Linked DNA regions of Sus scrofa. The protein of the gene in region 2 interacts with the protein of the main gene of each other region in a biochemical or structural test. Links are inferred from orthologs where the notes say so. Each region holds a gene or a part of one and is shown on either strand. Other genes may lie near its edges.

Region 1 (10,642 bases), on a different chromosome or scaffold from region 2:
TAGAGCCTCCAGCTCTTGGACTCTGCCAGTCTCCCCTATTTTTCTTTGCTGTTCTTGGTCTGTCTACTCCTGGGGAGCTTCCATCCCCACCCCCTTTGTCTCTCTCTTCTTTCTCTAGCCTTATCTCCCATTCTGTCTCTTCTCCCTCTTAGCCTCTGCTCTCAGGAGAGTACAAATGGGGGTCCCCTCACTCAGTGGAGTGCCCTTCTAGCATGTTTCTCCTGTAGGAGTGTTCTATGAGGTCAGTCTCCTTCATGGGACCTCCATCTCTCCTCCATGCCACACCACACCCGACTCCCAGGGCAGACATCTTTCAGTGTGGATGAAGCTGGGCATGTGTGCAAGCATGCGACGGTGAGACCTGGAGGGGTCCTTAAATCCTACCCCCTGACCTCAGACCCACAGCCCTGTGTCCCACATTGCAGTCGAAACTTGCGGAAAACAGAGGCCCCCAGAGCAAAGTCTGTGGGATCATACATCAGAGCCAAAGTCCAGTGTTCTGCTATATCACACTGTCATTTTCAAGGGAGACACAGAGCAGTGATGCTCACAGAAGCAGAAGATAGGAGAACCCTAACCACAGATTTCCAAAACTGGGACCCCAAACCTAACTTGCAGAAATAGGGAGACCTTAGGCATCTGGAACCCAGACTGTAGACACCTCAGAAACAGCAGGCACCGAGAATCACGGGCCAGAGGGGACCCCTACCCAAAATTCAGATTACTGGGGGAACTCAAGCCTCTGACCCTGGGGACCGCACCCCCCCTCCCCCGGGGCCCCCATCCCCCGGGACCCCAGAGCAAGCCAGAAGCCTGTTCAGGAGTGCGAGCTGGGGACTTACCAGCGCGTATGCCGAGCTGAGCACCGGACAGCAGAGCAGGAGCGCCAGGCCGGGCGCGATCCGGGCGGCCCCCATTGCCACCGCCTAGGGCCCCGTCCCTCGGGGTTGCAGCCGCCGCCGGCCCTGGTGGTGGTGGTGGTGGTGGTGGTGGGGTACAGAGCTGCCTCAGGCAGGGCTGCCCCGCCCACGTTAGGGCCTAGGGGACCCCGGAGGCCCGGCGGCCCGAGGCCCCGGGGCCCGGCGCGGGGCCCATGCGCCGAGGGCTAGCGAACGAGAGAGCGCAAGGGAGAGGGAGGGAGGGAGGAAGGGAGGCAGCCCGGGGCCAGGCGGGCGGCGGGCGGGCGCCGAGAGCTGCGGAGCTGCCCGTCTGCCTCGGAGCGGAGAAATCACATCCATATGGCCGGGCCCCCCGCCCCCGGCCCGCCCCCCGCCCCCCCTCCCGCGCCCCCCCTTCCGCGCCGCCTTTTCTTTCTCTCTCTCTTTTTCTTTTGGGGAACTAGGAGCTGTGGCTTTGCCCCACGCCCAGTGGGGGTGGGGTCGGGGGAGGGGTTGGGGTCGCGGTCTGCTGGGGGCTCACGGGGCTGTTATTTTTAGCTCCGCGGCTAGCACAAGTAGGGGGACCGAGCGGGGCGGGGGGCACGTTTTGCGCCTCTTGGGGCGTGCAGCTTGGGTACGCGATCCCAACTTTGCAACGACACTGAGCCCTTTGGTGATCCGGCCGCCAGCTCCGTGCCCCTCTGGTCCCTCTGATCCCCATCCCGTCCGCGGCCGCCTACAACACTCCAGCCCCATCCTCCGCCGGAGCCCCGCCTGCGCCCGTGCCGCTAGAGCGCGCCTGCGGCCGGGACGCTCGGTCAGTCTGCCTGTCTGTCAGTCCGTCTCTGGCTCCCCCGGCCTTGGCCTCCGTTCTTCCAGCAGCCCCGAGCTCCGTTTCGGTCACTCCCTCGCTCCCTCCCTCCCCTCCCCCTTTTCTCTCTACGAAAACATTTGCAAGTTTCCAAAAAAGCCACTGAGCCGAGCGGCGCGGGGCTGGCGGCTCCACCGGGTCCGAGGAGGCGCCGCCGAGTGACACCGAGACAGACCAGTCCCTCCGCCCGGATCAGGCCCGGAGTCACCCTACTCAACTCCGGCCCCCCTCCCCTCGGTGCCAGCCCCCAACCCCGACTTACTCCGAGCGCGCCGCCGCGGCCCCCGCCTAGCCATGGATGTCGGGGACCCCCCGACAGCCTCCCCAGGACAGCGCCCCGTCCGCGGCCCCAGGGGAACTTCATGGAGCTCTCGGGATCCCCCCTGGCCGGCCTGGTCTCCAGCGCCCCCCGCCCGGCCCGCTCTCAGAGCCGCCGCCCGCCGCGCGCGTCCCTCGCCTCGGCGTCTGCCGCTCCCCCTCCCCCCTCGGCTCGGGCGCCTCTTCCCTCCCCCGCGCCCTCCCTGGGCCTCTCCCGCCCCCGCCCCCCCACCCGGTCGCCTCCGACACGGGTGTGTGGAGCCGCAGAGCGGAGCTCGCTGCCCCCTGCCCCGGGACATTTCTCTAGAGGCCGCGGCCGGAGGTTGCACAGCGGCGGGATGTGAGTGTGGAGGGGACGGGGCCGGGGAGCTCTGACATCGGGGTCCGGGAACATAGCCCGGGCCGCTGCTGCCGCTTCGTTCTCCTCTCCGGGAAGGCACAGACGTTATTTTTTTCTGATCGTCCGGCCACGGCCGGTGAATAGCGGCCTTTAGCCTCAAAGCAGGCCCTCTTCACGGGAGGTACCCCGCCCGCCCGCGGGATCCGTCGGCCCGTGGGACTCCCGCTCAGCCTGGACCAAGATCCCTGGGGAGCCTGCTCTGCCGCCGGCCCTGAGCCTGACTCCGCCGCGGCTCTCCCGGCCGCCCCGCCTTCGCCTGGACCCCCACTCTCAGGAACCTCCCGAGTGGGTCGGTGTGCAGTGCCCTAGACCCGCCCCTGTCCCTGCCTGCGTCTCTGGCCTCACGCCCCGCTCCCTCCCTCCCCAGTCTCTGGGTCTGGGTCTCTCGGAGTCTGGACCCATCCAGACTTGGGGCCCTGCCTCTCTAGCTCCTCCTCTTGACTCCACCCCTGGCTGCTTGAGGCCGCAAGACCCCTTACTAAGCCCGGACCCCACCCTGGGGTTCTGCCTCCCTCTCCCACCCCTTCACACCCGCCAAAGCTCTTGGCTGGTTCTGGTCCACTGGGGACTCTCAACTTGGGGGAAGGGCGAAAGGAGACTTTGGGGCAGGGGCCAGACGGAGGTGGAGCTTATGTTCTCCCGCCTGGAAGGGGACGCTCAGAGGAGGGGGCCTTGGACGGACACCAAGCAGTATCAAGCCGGAAGCTGAGGTGCAGAGAGGGCCTGTAGGTGCACGGAGCAGAGGGCTTTAAGGAGGGTCAGGTGAAAGCTAATGTGACTGGGAAATATCCAGGTTAAGTGGCAACCCCAGCTCATCCACTTACCAATTGTGTATCCTGGACACAAGACTCCCTGCTGTCTGAGCTTCAGTTTCCTCATCTGTAAAATGGGGAGCTGACCAGCTCTTTCAAAGGGCACTTTTAACCTTACCATTTTAGTGCCTTCAAGGGTGGTTATCCCTCTGGGTTCCCCAGAGACCCCTGTGCTCTGAGGGCCCTTCAAGCTCAGCCTGTGGAAATTGAGCTCCTTAGAGCCCCAGACCAGTCCTCCATCTCTGGGATGGCCCCTCTCTTCAGTGTCAATGAGTGCCCAAATCCAAGCCCTAAGGCCACTGGAATCCAGCTGCATCCGGCTCTCTGGGGAACCCTCCCTCCCTCTGCTCAAACCTACCTGTCTCCCAGACTGTACCCATCTGTCTTCTCCCTATATTTCTATGGCCATACTCTCTTCAAGTTTATGGTCCTGGTATTTAAGGATTGTGCTGTTTGAGGAAGTTTCTTCCCAAAGTGACTCTCTCCAATGAGTACCGTTCACTAGATTCCTGTCCTTCTCTCCATATTCACTTTTCTGCCTTTGCCTTTGTAGTTTCCTCAGCTAGGATCATACTCCTCTGCCTGGTGTAGAGGATGTCCCTCCCGTCTTGTGTCTCCGTTTCATCCATTACTGGGGGGCAGCTGTGGTTTGGGGGCTGCTTCCCATGGTGTGTGGGCTCTTAGGGAACAGGGACAGAGCTCAGGTGCTCAGAACAGGCAAGTAAAGAACAGACGTGTTTCTTCAGCTTTTGTATCTGTCTCTAAGCAATTTGATTCTAATTTTTATAATTTGACAACCACTAACAACCCTACACCCCTTGATAATAGGAAAAGAACATTCATGGACAGATTGGAGGAACTGAGAGGTAAAACTAGGGGCTGATGGGGGGGGTCCTTCTCAGATCTGACACCCAGAAAACTTGAGATTGAGAAACAAACAATATTTGTGTTTAGGAAGATCAGGGTGGGCTGTAGATTGGGCTGCAGAGAGGGATCTAATGGGCTGTTCCCCTAACCATAGCTCACATGCCTCACTCCTCCACCACTGTGGGTGGGGCCGTTGACCCCCTAACTCACCCCCAGGCCTCTGGTTAAAGTGCTACCATGGTGGTGGTGGGGGTGTGTGTCACACATTAACTGGTAGCACCCCAGTGCCTGGCAGAGCACAGCCCACCCTTTTTGACAGGCAGGCCCCAGAGCCCCAGGGTCTGTTTCTGGTCAGTTTCAGGTCAGTTTCAATGGCATTTGGAAAGTCATGGTTGGGGGTAGGGAATGGGAGTCCCTGTGGGGACTCCCCTCTTTGATCCCCAAGCTGGGGCCTAGAGGGAGGAACCAAGGCTGTCATTGGAGCTCAGAACCAGAGCAGGGTGGGGGTGGGGTAGGGTGGGGGACTTAACTCTGTTGCAGCAGTCCTAAGCTGACAGACCTCTGCTGCTGGCACTGCCATCACCGGTAGAGCTCTGGCCAAGGTACACAGACCCTGATGCCTGGGTGGGGACCAGATTCTAACAGGAAAGACAGGCTTTCTGAGCCCAGCAGCGTGGCCCCACTCCCTCAGAAAACCCCTTTCCCTAACCTGGAGGCTCTCTGGGAATACTGGCCTGATTACTCCCACACTTCATCCCCTCACCCATAACCCCGAAGTCAGCTTGAATCCTAATCTCAGCCCTGATCCCAGACTGAGCTTTACCCCCAGGCTGAGTCCTTATCCCGGTCTGACCTCTAACCTCTGGCTGAACCCTGACCCCAGGCTGAGCCTCCACCAAGCCTCAGCCCCAGACCTCTTTCCAGGTTTGTAGGCCCTTCTGGAAGCTTTTCAAGGCAAGGGGCTGGTGGGGAGGGGATGGCCAGGCCATAAGTGAACCGAGGTGCCACTTTTACAGCCATTTCGGCTGCTCATAAACACCCCCCACCCGGATGAGTCATTGGAGGCTCCCAGGCAGCCTGTCAAGCAGCCCCCTCCCCTTACAGCAGGAAGCCTGGCTTTCTCACTTCTCAGGAAGGGGCTGGGTTGCCCTGTCCCAAGCAGGAAGCACTCGTGGGGCAGGTGACTGGGGGTACAGGATCCCTATCCCTTCTCATCACATAGTCACAGCCTCCCTGCTGCGGTAACACCAGCTCCATAGTTATCTCCTGGCAGGCATACTTTGGTTGCCCCACAGGCACAGATACACACACTAACCCAGCATGGTGCCCCAACCTTGTCCCTCACTGCATCCGGTTCCCAGGGCTAGACCCACTCACCTGGAGCCCACAAGACCTTCCAAGTAGGGTTTGGAGTCACAGAGGAGACTCAAATTGGCCATGGGGAGGCCATGGATAGCCCTGAGAGGCTTCTGTGGTTCAGGCCTAAGCCAGGATATTGCTGTTTGGGACAGGAAAAGGCCTGAGTCAAAGTTTCACTTGAAAAGAAAAATTAATTATTTTTTACCAAGCCATGTACCAGCCCAGGACTTTGTCCTAGACCCCTGGTCAGGGAGCAGAGGCAGGTCCAAACATACCAGTGTTCAGGTGCTCTGGGTTAGGCCCTCCCTGCCACTGTCCATGGGTTTGCCTGCCAGGCATCCAGGCCAGCTCAGCCCCTCAGGTGTTTGTGTGCCTCAGTAGTCCTCTCCCTGCTCTGCCAACCCTTTCTCCAACTAGCTTACTGTCTGTTTCTGTGTCTCTGCCTGCCCCTTCTAGCCTTTTCCATAGCCCAGAAATTTCAGGCCACCATGAGTTATAAGCACAGCCCCTATGAGTGACTTCATTCAGATTTTGGGCCTTTGTAAAAATCGGGTGGAGGCTGAGGGTAGTTCATACCCAGGTCACAAGCAGAGGACTGAGGCTGAGAAGGTCTGCCCTCTAAGCACTGGCTACCCAGTGTCCCCCAGCTAAGAGAGACGTGGGGACCCTTGCTCTACCCAGCCCTTGTCCTGATCCCTGCAGACCCACAGCCCACCCTATATCTGACTCCTTCCCCACTGAAAATGGACTTCAGGTCTGAAACCAGCCAGCAAGCTTCATGGGCTGCCCCCCTACCACATATACCCCACCAAGTACTAGGTAGGCTCAGGGCCTGCTTAGGTAGTTATAGGTCACAGAGGCAGGGGGTTGTGGACAGGATGACCTCCCTCTGTGGCTCTGTGGAATGAGCTATAGCAGAATCAGTGCTGGACTTGGACACTGAGGGTGAGGACATGCGCAGACAGGATGGAAGAGACTATGCAAGATTCTGGACCCTCACCTCAGGGCCCAGAGAGCCTGATTGAAGACTGCCCTTCTGCCTGAGCCCAGTCTGAGCTGGTTTGAGTCTGGAAGTCCCAGGCTCAGCCTGACGAGGTGTAATGATTCACGTGGCAGCTGCTGCTCCACGCATTCCAGCCACAGCCCCCAGTGCTTGGCATGTGAGGCGGCTGGCCCGGAACCACCCCCAGCCACTGGGTCACGTTCTTAGGGCCCCCATCCCTAGGGGCGACCTCTCCTCAGGTCTTCCAGGATCCTGGGGAGAACACTTTATAGTTTCCAAAGTACTTTCTAGTTCAGAAGCTGGAAAGAGAGGCAGGGAACTTGTCAATACCTGGCCTCCAGGTAGGGAAAATGAGGCTTAGAGGGTAGACTGGGCTGCCCAGGGGCTCATAATGAGATTATGACAAACAGTACTTGCAGGGCTCCTGCCCCTGGCCTGAGCTGTTTCCAAGTGTCTGGCTCCAGTGGGGTATCTCAGGGCACGTAGGCCGTTCTGTGACCAGGGCCAGTGTGTGTGGAGGGGGTCGGGGCAGATTTCAGCTTTACAGGTCACTGGGCAGCTGTGTCCAAGAGGGTAGACCTCCTTTGCCCTCTGTCAAGCTTCCCACTGCCCTGAGCCTCCACCCATGGAGCCTCTCCCTCCTCTGAGCCCACTTACACCCCTGACTCCCATCCTCACTGCCACGGAAGTCAAAGGCTGGGGCTTAGTGCCTGTTCTGCCCTGCCCTGTGCATCTCTTTCCTGTTTGTGGCCTCGGTTTCCTGATATGTTATTAACACGGGCAATTCAAGACTTGAAGGGGCTCCATAAAATGACCGAGTGCTTGGGTCCTGGGCATACCTGTGAATCTGAAAACCTGAGGTCCTCTCTCCCCTAGAGCCTTGGGGGCTGCCTGTGCCGGCCAGGCTGTGTTCCTCCAGTGGGCCCCAGCTTAGGGCTCTGAGGGGTGAGTCTTGCCCTCAGCTCCGGGGACAGGAAGTCGTATTTTGGTCCTGGGTCCTGAGGAAGGAGGCAGGGGGAGAATGGCAGCTCAGACCCAGTCATGTTTACCTGGGCCCAGCCCCCTCTGAGCTCAACAGACCCATTCATTGGGAGCCCCATAAACCCTTTGGGGCTCCCTGAGGTTCAGAGTGCCTGGACGCCAGGCCTGGCTGCCACCCCCAGACCTTCTGGGGGCCATGGGCAGCAGGTAGGGCATGAGTGAGGCAGAACTAGGGATGGCTGTGGGAGCCTCAGACATGCCTCAGCTTCCCGATCTTTGCATTGGAACAACAATTCCTGCACGTGCAGTTGGGAAAATCAAAGGGGTCTTCCTGGCTGTGTTCCCTCAGAGAAGGCTCCTGAGAGCATATCCTCAAAGCATAATGGCCTTCAAGGCAACCCTGGAATCAGAGCTGACCTCCTTGTGAAGACCCCACACCTGGCCTTGGGTTGTCCACAAGCCACACCTTGGCAAGATGTGCATGAGTGTGCAGCCCTTTAGAGTGGAGGGAGTCCCTTGTCCTCTCTAGTGCTCTCTTCTCATCTCTTCAAAGGCACATCTTCATCAGAAGTAGAAACTTGGGGACTGGATGGGTTGTTGAGAGATGAGGGCCTAGTGTCTGCTCACCGTCAACTGAGGAGGGCTGACTTATATCAGGGTACCCTCTACGCTGTCTGCAGTCCCCTGACTCGGCTTAATTGGGTGGCGTAAGCTATCATCCTGTGGTCCCTCAAAATGAAGGGGATGCAGCAGCAACATTTGGTGAAAAGAACTGTGGGCCAGGGGTCTGAATGCTACATAGCTCCTGTGTGCCTTGGAATAATCCCTTCTTCCCCCTGGTCTTGTGCCCCGACTGCTGACAGGGGTTAGAGGGGACTCCATCCAAAACTCCTCTCACCCCTGGGGTTCTCATGCAGGGCAGGGAGTGAGAGGATAGAAGCAAGACCTCCCACCCAAGACCCCTTTCAGCAGCGCCCCTGCGTGCCCCAGACCATCTGGAAAACTGCTCAGGGACCCTGGTTGGGGGCAAGAGCGGAGTCTCCTTTCCCAGACACCTTCCGGGTGGGGTGTGACTTCCCGCTCCAGTGGTTGTAAAATCCCCTGAAGCCTGGTGGGTCCCTAGTGGGGGGTCGTGTGTGCCTCGGAATACCCCCCTCCCAGGCGTGTTTGACACGTGTTTCCGCCTCTCCCGGCGTGGGCTCCTGCTGCTGCTATTTATAACCTTTAAGAGCTCCTGCCGACTGCAAAGTTTTCTTAAACTCAAAATATCACCGAGGTCCTGGGCACGCGTTCCAGAGGCTGGCTGGGCCCTGTGGTTTGAAGGGACGAGGGGGCCGGGAAAGAGGAAGGAGTGGGAAAGGGGTTAGTTCAGACACTGGATCCTGCCTGGGGTGGTGGTGGGGAGACTTGGGTGGGGGACCCCTAGTTCTTGACACTGGGTCTTGCTCAGCCTAGAGAGACCCTCTATGTGGGTGGTCCTTGTTCAGGCTGGGCCATTTGAGGACTGCTGGCCACCTCTCTGGGCCTCAGTTTCCTCTCATCCTGCATGCCTCAGGGCACGTTAGCTGGGTGAAGCAGTGATCTGGCAGTGATACTGGGAACGTCTCTGGCTGGGACCAGGGCTATGTCTGCTTGGCTATCCAGCACCCGGCACAGAGCCTGTTCCAGAGGCCTGGTGGACATTGGCTGAACTGGCCAGAAGGAGAAGTACTTTGGGGAAGTTTATAAAACTGCCTTTGGGAGAGCAACATTCAGAGAGGGTCAATGGCATGCCAGAAGTCGCTCAGCTCATCCAGACTAGATCCTTAGTCCTTCCCAACATCCAGAGTCTTCTGAGGCCGTGCAAGAAGCCGAAAGGCTTCAACTTGGGACAGGTGGGTCCCAACCTTGGAGGAGGTTCCAGGAGTAACAGAAGAATGGCTCTGCATAGCTCAGAGACCTCCCTGGAGCTAGAGGAGACACTGGTCACCACCTGGCCCTGGGGAGGGCAGGATGCAGCCAAAATCACACTCACAGCTCCTACTTGTCCTGGGCCACTGCTCCATTTCTGGAGCCCCTCTGCCTCCTCAGGAGTGAAGGAAAAGCTCCAGCCCCGTTGCAAGCAAGGGCCCTGACAACTGTGGACTCATGCCCTCTACAGGGAGGCTGGCGGTTTAGCCTCCCCCACTTCTGCTGCACCCCCTTCCTTCCCTGCCTTCCTGATCTGGTGTGGGGGTGCAGAGGCAGGGAACATGAGTGCTCTGGGCCACGCAGCGTATCCTGCACCCCTGCAACGCCCTCTGTCCCACAGCCGGCTCCGGAAACCATTTCTGGCCCAGGGAGCAGAGCTGGGTCCCAGATGGAAGGGTGGCCACCCCTGCCCTCCCACTCAGTGCTCCACATACATCTTCCAATTTAAGCATAACCACAGAGGGCCATTTGGGGGCAGAGGGGGGCGAGGAAGTGATGACCTAGCAGAGAGAGTGAAGAGGGATGACAGAGAAAGGAAAGTGTTCTGGAAAGACAGGCCTGATAGAGCTACTCCTTTGCTCAGATGCCTTTCTGTGACCCCCTGAATCAAACTGCTCCCCAAATGGTTGAGCACTTACTGTGTGCTGTGCTGGGCTCAGAGACTTGAAGGTCTTGCTTCTGGAAGCCAGTTCCCTGCAGGCCCCACTTCTCTGGGGTTCCCATTGCCTGAACCCCACTCAGTCTATGACCCTGCTCCTCACAGCCTCCCTTGCCCTCCCTTTCTTGGCTTGGAGGGGGATCTCACATGCCCTTCAAATACCCCCTTTTCTCCTAGGTCTTCCTGGATCTGCTTCCAAGTGCTCAGCCGAGTGAGGCCTTGGTTTCTGGATTCTTTCCTCTATCTTGAGAGACTGTGAGCCTCTGAGGGAAGGGACTGGGTCATCCCCTCGGTCCTGCTGAGCCCTTCATGTTAGAGAAAAGCATCATCTTGTCCTGCGTCTCTGTGGGAGGGGAGAGTTACTGGCTGGAGCTTTGGACTTCAAAGACCCTCGCTGCCCCCTGCAACTCCTCTTATCTCTCAGTTGCTATGGAGACCACCTTCCTCTTCTGAGCCTCAGTTTCCCCATGAGGAGGGACAGAATCCCATGATCTCAGGAGGACTGTCCTCTGGCCTCTGGACAAGTCTCTTGTCATGCGTTATTG
Region 2 (10,206 bases):
GCCCCCTGCAGCCCCCAGCAGCCCACAGGGGGCCTCCCATCCAGGCCCCGGAGCTCCTTGGCCTTTCCTGCAGCCCACCCTTCCTTCCTCCCCCCTCCACCCAGCCGCCTGCCCTTCCCTTCCTCGCCCAGGCTGCCCACCCGCCTGCCTACTCCTTTGTGTACTCCCAGCGTCCCCGGCGTGCACAGGCCCTCCCCTCTGGAGCCCCAGCAGGCCACAGAGTACAGGTTGGCGCGTGGGCGGGGCCCGTGGAGGAGGCGGCCAGGGGTGGGGCTGCTTCCCCCTTGGTACTGACTCTGGCTGCAGATTGTCAGATGGGTTTTAAATAGCCCTGTCCACTCAGGCACAGGATGGGAACCGCCCGGCTGGCCTGGCAGCTGGCGGGGGAGCCCCAGGCTCCAATCTTCCTTCCTGAAAGCCCCAGTGCCCTTGAGCCCAGTTTATGGCATGGCCAGCCCTGCTTAGCCTGCGCAGTCTCAGGGGATGGGGTGGATAACGGCGAGGGAGAGGGGGACTCAAGGGGGACCCCACACACTTGGCATTGGTCCAGGCAGGTGGGAGGCAGGGGTCCAGGGCTGCATGGGGCCTCCCTTGGGCGCCCTGCTGCCCTTGGCTCGTTCCCACCTACTGGGTGGACCGCAAGCAGGTGCCTCTGACTGTGACCTGGACAGGTGACAGGCAGCTCTCAGCACCTGTGGGTCCCGTCTGGGCCTCATCCTCTCAGGTTGGGCTACACTGCTGACCTCCAGGGCTGTCCCCACGCCCCAATCTTTCAGAGCAAGGTGAAGTACATAAAGCAGACCAGTGCTATCCTGCAGCAGCGCTACGGTGGAGACATCCCAGCCTCTGTGCCAGAGCTGGTGGCGCTGCCAGGCGTCGGGCCCAAGATGGCACACTTGGCCATGGCCGTGGCCTGGGGCACCGTGTCAGGCATTGGTGAGTGGCATGGACCTCACGAGGCGGGAGGGACTGGCTCTGGGCTTGCTGGCTGCCCCCAAGGTTCCCCACAGCCTTTGGGACGGGTCTCCTCATGCATGACTGGGCCCGAAGGGGCAGAAAGGTGTTCCCAGCCGGGAGCTAGGCCTGCACCCCCCAGAGTCAGGTACTAGCAGGGGGAGTTTCCTGTTCGCTGGGCACCTGCCGCGTGCTGGGCTCCGCGAGAGGCCCTGCATGGACACGGCTCTGTGCTGTGCAGGGAGAGCCTGCAGCCAGGAGCTGAAGGGTGAGGTGGGCTGGCCAGGCCAGGGGAGGAAGTGCATTTGAGACAGAAGGAAAAGCATTTGCAAAGCCCTGCGGTGGGAGAGGCCCCAAGGCTCTGGGACAAGCAGGGCAGATGGGGGGCAGTGCAGACCCAGCAGGCAAGGGGCTGGGAGGCCCTTGCTAGAGCCCCCTCCCCGGGTGCAAGGGTCGCATCCTGGCATTGGAGGACCTCCCAGTGGAGACAGACCCCTGGGGTGGGGTGGGACTGTTTCCTCCGTTCTTCGCCCAGAGAGTTGGGGCTTCCAAGGCCGCGCAGCATGGCCTGACCCACGACCTTTTCGTGCGGCCCGGCCTGCGGCTCACAGGGGCGCGCCGGAAGGGCCGTGGCAACCCCCCTGTGCTTCCGTGGCTTGTGAAGCTCACCCCTGGGGTGGGGGCCCCCTGCCTGCACTGCCCCCGACAGGGGGCTCTGGCCACCCAGTGAGGCTGAAGCCCAGCAGCCCCAAAAAGCAGGAGCCGGGCCAGGCGGCGCCGGGCCAGAGCCTCCCCACCGTCTCCCGGGACCGGCTCTCCCGCAGCTGCTGGCCTCTCGGCAGATACTCGAGCTTATCTGGGTGCTGTCCTCAGCTGTCCTCAGCTGCCCGTGGCTGGGAGCGCGGCAGGGCTGTGGGGGAGGGGCCCGGCCCACAGCTGGACACAGCAGGAGGGAGCCTCCCAATGTCCTGTCTCATCGCCTAGGGGCCAGGCCACCTGCGGAGACCGCAGGGAGGGCGGGGGCCCCCTCCCCAGGAGTTTTCCCAAGAAGCCCCCTCAGTTAGAAAGCCAGAACTGTGGGATGCGGCAGCCATCCCAGCTCTGCCATCCCAGCGAGGGGACCCCAGGCAGGGCACTTGCCCTCTCGGAGCTGGGCCCCAGAGCCCCCAGACCAGCCACGGGAGCTCACGCACCTGGCTGTGGCTCTAAGCTGGGCTTCTGGGTAACTTAAGGGGCTTGGTCACCCCTCCCCACCCCGGGTTTCAGAGAAAGAAGCAGGCTGGGTGACCAAAGGTGTGACTTCTCAGTCTGCACGCGCTCCCCATGCCGTGTGGGGAGTCTCTCTCTCAAGGCAGCGAGCAGCTGGGGTGGTGAGCTGGTGCAGGGATGTGCGGCCCAAGCTGGCCAACACTTAGGAGGGGAGGCAGGGACTGCATCTGTTTGGGAGGGGGGCCTGGGTGCGCAGGGGGTGCAGCCCAGGTGGACGGTGCCTGCAGCTGGCCTGGCCTCGTCCCCGCTCTGTCCCTGACTGTGCAAGGACAGGTGCTGGCTCTGTGGCAGTGACTTCCTGCCAGCCCACTGGGCCCAGCTAGTGCCATCCAGCCTGGCACCCACAGCCAGCACCTGGGCCAGAAGGCACCGCTGCCTGTACCCCAAGGAGAAGTCCTAGTCCTCTGGGTCTGGCTTCAGCCCCTGCCCAGCAGCAGGGGTGGCCCATGCACCCATCCTGGCTCCTCCTCAGAAGCGGGGGAGGGAGGAGGGCCAGGGAGACTCCTGGCCCGGAGCTGCGGGCAGGGAGGGGGCAGTCTGCGCGGGGGAGCCTGCCCCGTGTTCAGCTTGCCTGGTCCCCGAGCAGCAGTGGACACACACGTACACAGAATCGCCGGCCGACTCAAGTGGACCAAGAAGGCAACCAAGTCCCCTGAGAAGACCCGCACTGCCTTGGAGGAGTGGCTGCCCAGGTGTCACAGGGTAGGGGCGGGGCGGCCCACCTCCCTCAGCCTCACCCCCACACTGATGGATCCCACCCCCACAGGGAGCTATGGAGTGAGATCAATGGACTGCTAGTGGGCTTCGGCCAGCAGACCTGCCTGCCCGTCCGCCCCCGCTGCCAGGCCTGCCTCAACCGGGCCCTGTGCCCGGCTGCACAGGGACTCTGAAGGCTTGCAACCTCTGCCCTGGGCCACTCTGGCCACCGTCTGTTATGTGCCTCTGCTAGGGATTCGCAGCCTGTTTGTAATAAAGCTTGGGGGTGTTTGCAGTCAGGGTCTGGCTGATTTCTACCCCTAGGGGCTGGGGGCTGGCTGGAAAGCACACGCGTGAGCTGTGTGTGCGCCGGTGCTCACGTGTGTCTGGGACCGGGCTGCCTGGGAGGCCGGGATGGGGACGTGACAATCTGGGCTGAGTGCGGGTGGGGGTGGGGGAGGGGGGAATCATGGGATCCAGCTGCAGCCAGCTGTGGGGAAGACCGCTGGGACGCTGGGAACACACACACCCGCCTGAACTTGGGCACCCGGAGAACCCAGCCTGTGCCAAGAGGCCCCACCCCCGGTGTTTACAGAGCCACCTGGCCTCCAAGGGACACCAGCAGGCCCAAGCAGGGCAGCATGGGCAGGGGGCTGGACCTGTGTGAACCTGCTGGGGGTGCCAGGGGCCCAGAAGCCTTCACCAGGAGGTGCTGGTGAAAGGGGGTAGGCCCTGAGGCACCGGGGTCCCCATGAGCTGAGGAGGGCGCAGGAGCTGAGGGGTGGGGCTGCCCCCCCCTCCCCCGCACAGGGAATGGGGGAGGGGCCGCTCAGGACCCGGTCTCCGTGTGCACCAGCTGAGATTTGGGGAGCTGCCGGGCTGCTGCCTCCCTGCCAGGAAAATGACCCCCAACCCCTGCAATGAAAGTTCAGGGTGAACAGAGAGCCAGGATACAAGGAAGGCCTATTTATTCTGAGGGCGCGCATGCGCTATGGCTTTTAGGGCAGACAGCGATGCCGGGTCGGTCTGGTTCTGGGCAGGAAGGAAGGCGGAGTCGGTGGGGCATCTTCAGGGGCGGCTCAGGGCAGGCGAGCCAAGAGCTTGGGGACCTTCCTGGGGGCTGCCGTGCAGGGACAAGGGGCCTGTCTACAGGCTGCCCTCCTCGGGCAGGGCCGAAGTTCTCCATCTCGGGCCCCACCAAGAACCCAGGCCCTGCCCCCGACCCAACCCCCACGCCAGGGAGGGCAGGGCCTGAGCAGCGAGGCAGCTCTTAGCTCTTATAGCCACGTGGGGCTCCTAGCCTCCCCGAAGCCTGCGTGAACACGGCCTGGGGGCCCCAGAACTCTGCCCCTGGAAGGCCCTGGGACTCCCTCGGGGAAGGCTGCTGCTGAGGGAGGTGGGAGGAAATGGTTTGCAGAGAAAGGTTTGTTTTATTGCAATTATTTAGAGAGCACGTCCTGAGGGGATGGGGGTGGGGGCTCTGGTATTAAGTGGAAACATGTGTGGAGCCAGAGCTCGTGTTGGAAAAAAAGCCAAAACACAAATTCCTTTAAGTCAGCAGGCCCAGGCAGAGCAGCAAGGGCCCGGCCTGGCGGGTCACCCCAGCCTCCCCTCCCCAGCCCACCTCTCTGGGTGTCTCTGTCCCTCCCGTCTCAGGGGCTTCCTCTGCCCGCTCCCCAGCACCCCGTGGGAAGGGGGCAGGACGGGGGCTCACTGGGGCACGGGCTGGTTCATGGGGGGTGGTGGGACCACCACGGCTTAGCGAGCGAAGGTGCCCCCGCTGCAGTCCACTGAGGCTCGGGGCGCTCTGGGCAAGGCCCAAGGTCCATGCCCAGAGGAGGCCCGGCTGGGGACCAGGCGGCGGCTGCGGCGGAGGGTGGGGGGTCTCAGAAGTTGCTGAAGATCTCACGCTTCCGGTTCCAGTCCATCTGTGGCGCCCGCTTGTTGACCCTGGTGGCCCTCGCCTTCTCCTTGGCCTCAGCCGCCGTGGGGCTCAGGTGGAGGCCACTCTCCTGGAAAGGGTCACGCTTCCAGGTGCTGCTGTCCTAGGGGTGGACACGGTGGCCAGGTGGCCAGAGTGAGCCCTGGACCCAAGCCCCCAGCCGGGTGACCCTTCCCACTGAACGCACACCAGAGGCCACCGGGCAGCAGGCTCAGGAGGGCTTCCCAGCGGTGGTGGCCTCACCGCCCAGGCGGACAGCTCCGGGGACACCCGCCCCCAAGGCTCCAGGCCCCCCAGGGAGGGACCACAGCAGTGGAGGTGGAGGGGCACCAGCTACCTCAGTGTCCTTGTCTAAGCCGGGCAGGTCACTTCGGGACGAGCACACGGAGCCACCATTGAGCTGGGAAACCAAGGTAAGGTGTGGCTTTAGGGCCCGGGGCCGGGAGGGCCCCCACACACAGCAGCAGAGCTGCATTTATTCCTCCACTTGGCAGCGGCCACGGAGCATCTACTCGGCACAGTAGGTGCCCCCTGTCCCCACCCCCACCCTGGGCGAGGGTGTGGCTGAGCTGGAAGGGACCCATAGGAGTATTAGAGCTGGAGTGACTGGGCCGGACAGGGTCTCCCAACCGCGCCTACACAAGGACAGATCCGGGAGGGGCTCTGTCAAGCCTGGGGACTCCCAGAGGTGCCCCGTATGGTCTCCTGGGCCAGCCCTGTCCCCTCCCACCCTCTCACCTGGGCTGAGCTGGTCCCATTGGTGACAGGTGATGGCAGTGGACCTGTGGGGACAGTGTGTCAATGGCTCTGCCCCCGAGGCTTCTCCCCAGCCCTGGCCCCCAGGGCGGCCACCCACCTTCCATGTGCTCCTGGGTGGGTGTGACCCGCAGCCGCTTGAAGTACGCATCCGTCTCGGGGTCCACCACCAGCAGCCGGGCCTCGTCCTCCCGCGCCTTGATGCAGGCAACCACCTCCGCGTGCCGCAGCCCCTCCACATTCTGCCCGTTCACCTGCCACCGCCAGCACGGTGTCAGTGCTGCCTGAGGGCAGGGCAGGGCCCCACCAGCCCCCCGGGCTACCTGGCCAGGTGTGGCATCAAATATTCATCAACGCTGTCACCAGCCAGGGTAGCCAGAGAAGCAGCAGCTCAGGTTCCCAGCATCTCCCCTCCTCCCGGGAGGACCTGGGGCTCGGAACACGTTTGCGCAGACAGGGAAGGACCCGGCGGGGACACACATGGGGGGGCCGTGGGCCCAGACACAAACAGAAGGGGCCAGGCACAGAGGCGCACACAGGGCAGCCAGCACCCCGAAGCCTCCATGGCGGTACCTCTATGAGTCGGTCCTGGGCTCGGAGGCCGGAGTGGGCAGCAGGTGAGCCTGGGTCCACGGAGCGGATGTACTGTCCAGGCCGGGACTTGTCGCTGTGCAGGTTAAACCCGTAACCCTGGGGGCCTTTTCGCAGGTGGCAGAGCCTTGGGCGCAGCTCCCTCAGGGGCCCGTTGACATCCTGCAGGCACAGGGGATGTGGGATGAGGCTCCAGGCCTTACCTCCCACCCCTGGAGGAGCTGACACCAATTGTGAACGCAGCAGTGGAGGCGGCTGGAGAGAAGCCACCCCACATTCAGCATCGTGCCCCTACCTGACTGGCAGCCCTGGTCTCAGGGGCCTACAGCACCACACCCATGCCTGGGGCGGCAGGGGGACCTCTTAGGCTGCCTGTGACGATGCAGCTTCGGGGTCCTGGACGAAGCCTTAGCTTCCAAACCCCAAAGGACCCACAAGGGGGTCAGGGACCTTCCAGGGGTGTTGGGAGAATCGGCTGGCTCAAGGACAGGGCTGAGGACAGACCCGGGTCCTCGGAGAGACCAGGTGAGACGAGCCACCGCTCATCAGTGTTCCGGGAGGGCTGTCCCCATGGGCCCTGCCTGCTGTCACACTCCCCCCCCCCCTCCCGCCGCAACCCCATCCGGAAGTGTGGGGCTGGCTCCAGCAGGCAGGCAGTTTTGTTTACTCTCCCAAAGGTCTCCACAGGGCTGGTAGCAGGCGGGCTGTGTTTGCTTTCACATTCCAGCGCCAGCAGGAGCCACCCCCGCCTAGCCTCGACGACAGACAGGCACAGGCACCGGGGATGAGAGGGGAGCGAGGGCGGGGCCTGCCTCCCACCTTCCTGCTCCCCTGGGAAGGCCCTCGACCCCCCAGGGCCCTGCCTCGCTTTACCTCTGGCATCGTGCAGGAGGGTTCCGGGCCGGGGGTGCGGGGTGGGGGCGCGCAGGCAGGGGCCCAGGCCCAGGAGGCCCACCCGGCCACGGCCCAAGGCAGCGACCCCTGCACGGAGCAGGTGTCAGCCCAATATGGCGGCGGCCGGGCGGCCGGGAGCTCAGGTTTCCGAGCAGGGAGCCGGCAGGTGAACAGCACCGGGCGGAGTGGGGTGGGCTGGGGGTGCTCACCAGGGCCCTTTCCCCACGCCTCCCTGTGTGGGGGGACCCTGGGCCGGCTGGCGGTGGCGCTGAGGGAGGACCCCCTCCAGGCCTCGGAGCCCAAAGCCCCCATCTGACAGCATCTTTCTCACAAGGGACTGCCTCGCCCTGGTCCCCGGGCCTTCCCACCTGTGGGGGACACCCTCTGCCAGTCCAGCCTGTGACCCTCCTCCGGGACCCCTTCCCTGACCCCAAAGCCTGTCCCCTCAGAAACCCCACTGCGGGCCACCATGTGCCCTTCAACCCCAGCAACTCCAGGAACCAGGCATGGTGCCTCGGTCCCCCAAGGCTTCAGCCAGGGGACATGGGCTGAACTGTGAGAGCCTGGCTTCTCTGGCACCTCAGCGACCCACTCATGCCCAGACACGCCTGGAAGCACAGGGGTGCGGCTCTGCGGCCCCTCTTGGGTCCGGGCTGTCAGAGCACAGGTCCCAGGGCTGCTGGTCTGACGGAGCAGAGCCAGGCCGTGAGAGACGGTGGATGTGTGGCAACGCCACGCCTGGCGTGTGGACAAGGGCCTGGGGGCCAAGGCACATCGCAGGGTCCCAGGGACCATTCTGCAAACACACGCTCACAAACAGGCTGCACACAGACCCGCAGTGACCAGCCGTGTGAAAGGCCAGCCCTCAGCACCAGCCCTGTGGCCTCTTCCCACGCCCTCCACAGTGGTTCCAGGGCGTGGCCTCTCAAGGCCCCCAAACGGGAAGCAGGATGGGGGGGCATCCGGGGCCACGAGGCCAGGCCACATGAAGTCACATCCAGTTTGAAACCGTCTCCCTGCCTCAACCCGGCATTCCGCCTCTCCCCACACAGCCCGGTGGGGGGTTCTTCCAACATCGGCCCAGACCTCTCTCATTAGGGTCAGGGTCCAAGGAGTGCTCGGACTAGACCCTCAGGCTGAGGGGCTGCAATGCCGTCGGGGTGGGGGCCGACCCTGGCAGGGAGGCCCAGCGAGGAGGCCAGAGCCTTGGGCCTGGAGGGGGCCAGCCTGGCCCAGCATTGCTCACATTCCTGGCTCCCGCCCTGGCTCAGAGCACTTCCTACCACCTCCCAGCAAGGCCCTTGGGCTCCCAGACCCCGTTCCCAGCCACGCAGGCCCAGAGCTGGACAAACCCTGGTCTCCCAGCCATGCCTGGGACCAGACAAAGAGGCTGGCACCCCCAGATGGTGGGGGTACCCCCGGAGACAGGCTGTGCCCCCACACACACACATGGTGACTCACCAGCCCGAGCAGAGAAAGGCTCCCATTGTTGCTCCGGGTCCAGCCTGCAACTGGGCCCGAGGTCCACCAGTGTCCCCAGAGTCCCCTCTCCCAAGCCTGAGGGACACAGGCTGGCTGCTGGTGTCCTCACTGCCCACCCGGCCCCCACCCCACCTGACCTGCACAAGCCCCTGAGCTGGGCCCTGTGGAGGGGCTCCCGGGGCTGGGGCGGGCGGCGTGGCAGTCCCAGAGCGGGCCATGGGAGGCGGGACAGAAGTGGCAGGCGACCTGCGTCCAGCTGCAGTGGCCTGAGCTCTCTGGCCAGCCCAGGCGGCCACCCCATTTATCCACCTCCCACCGTGGCCCAGGCTCCCCAGGGACGGGTGGGGACCTAAGGCTGAGTCACCTTGGAGAACAGGGTGGTGGCTGAGGCCCCCTCCCCTGCTCAAGCTCCAGCCCGGCGCCCTGCACTGGCCTGGTTTCCGTCCCAAGAAAGGAAGGAAGGAAACTGCTAGGAGGCCCTGCCCTGCTCCCAGGACCCAGGGCTGGGGGGACAAGGCGGCAGATAGGAGACCCTGGCCCCCAAACATAAGACAGCCCCGCTGCAGCTCATGGGGAGACGGGGCACAGAAACCGGGGAGCCCAGAAAGCCCTCTCGTAGGCATCAGGTCCTATACCAGGCAGTCACTGTCCGCAGGACGCTGTCACCTCAACCACTCTCAGCCCCGGAGCCGCAGCACTGGAGGGCCTGGGTCCCTCACACCCCCGCAGCCCCGGCTGTGTTTGGGGGCGGGTCGCAGTTGTCACTGTCAGGATCAGCTGCATTGCAGCTGCAGCCACCCCAGCCCAGTGTGAACCCCAGGCTGAGTCACCACTGATGAGTCCCTGACAGGCCCCAAAGGGAGGGGCCAGCCACATCCATGTCCCCTGCCTGCCCCACCTCCCCCTGCCCAGGACAGGAGGAGACTGAGGCTGAGAGGGCCAGAGGGACCCACAGGGCCCTGGCACCCACCTCAGCCCATCCCTCCAGGGCACAGAGGGTGGCCCTTCACCCTGCACTAAAGCAACCCCCCCAGCTCTCCTGTCCCAGGGCTGTCACCCTTCGGGGCACAGCTCTACAAGGAAGCCCCATCCTCCCAGAATCCCTGACAGCCCACAGTGGTGGGGGGGCAGCCAAGCCTGGTTTGTGGAGGAAGGATGGGAGATGGAGGGGTGGGGGGTGGGGGGCTAACCCTGGTTTGTGCAGGGGGGATGGGGGATGGAGGGGTGGGGGGTGGGGGGCTAAGCCTGGTTTGTGCAGGGGGGATGGGGGATGGAGGGGTGGGGGGCTAAGCCTGGTTTGTGCAGGGGGGATGGAGGGGTGGGGATGGCAGTGGATTGGGGGCTAAGCCTGGTGGGGGATAGAGGGGTTGGGGGGTGGGGGCTAAGCCTGGTTTGTGGAGCTCAGCGCAGGCCCAGCTCCTGCTGCTAAAGCTCTGAGCTCAGCCAATGAATGTCCAGGTTTCTGTCTGGGAGGGAGAAGAGAAGCCCCGTGCCCAGGGACTCCCCTGACCTTCTGGGGTCCCTGTGCCCGGGCAAGCCCCAACCCCCAGGAGACCTGCCAGGCGGGTCCCACTTTGTTACTCTAAAAATATGCCCAGAGGAAGACCCCTCCCCCAGCTTCC

What was found. The genes of interacting proteins can lie anywhere in the genome.
Region 1: the proteins of SLC9A3R2 (region 2) and PTH1R interact in a test that uses a peptide from one of them, tested with the Homo sapiens proteins (2 studies listed by BioGRID and IntAct, with this or other methods). The link is inferred for Sus scrofa from reciprocal best matches to the Homo sapiens genes NHERF2 and PTH1R.

The regions. Positions count from the first base shown.
Region 1 is NC_010455.5:29,744,910-29,755,551, reverse strand, and holds the start of PTH1R (parathyroid hormone/parathyroid hormone-related peptide receptor precursor), read right to left. Parts: upstream 5,613-10,642; 5' UTR 5,524-5,612; intron 966-5,523; 5' UTR 918-965; coding exon 843-917; intron 1-842.
Region 2 is NC_010445.4:39,938,501-39,948,706, forward strand, and holds the end of SLC9A3R2 (Na(+)/H(+) exchange regulatory cofactor NHE-RF2), read right to left. Parts: intron 9,585-10,206; exon of another isoform or gene 9,208-9,584; coding exon of another isoform or gene 8,722-9,207; intron 6,371-8,721; coding exon 6,191-6,370; intron 5,872-6,190; coding exon 5,718-5,871; intron 5,644-5,717; coding exon 5,600-5,643; intron 5,262-5,599; coding exon 5,199-5,261; intron 4,965-5,198; coding exon 4,806-4,964; 3' UTR 3,871-4,805; downstream 1-3,870. Other genes in the region: NTHL1 (endonuclease III-like protein 1), read left to right, coding at 105-227, 777-936, 2,810-2,915, 2,990-3,113.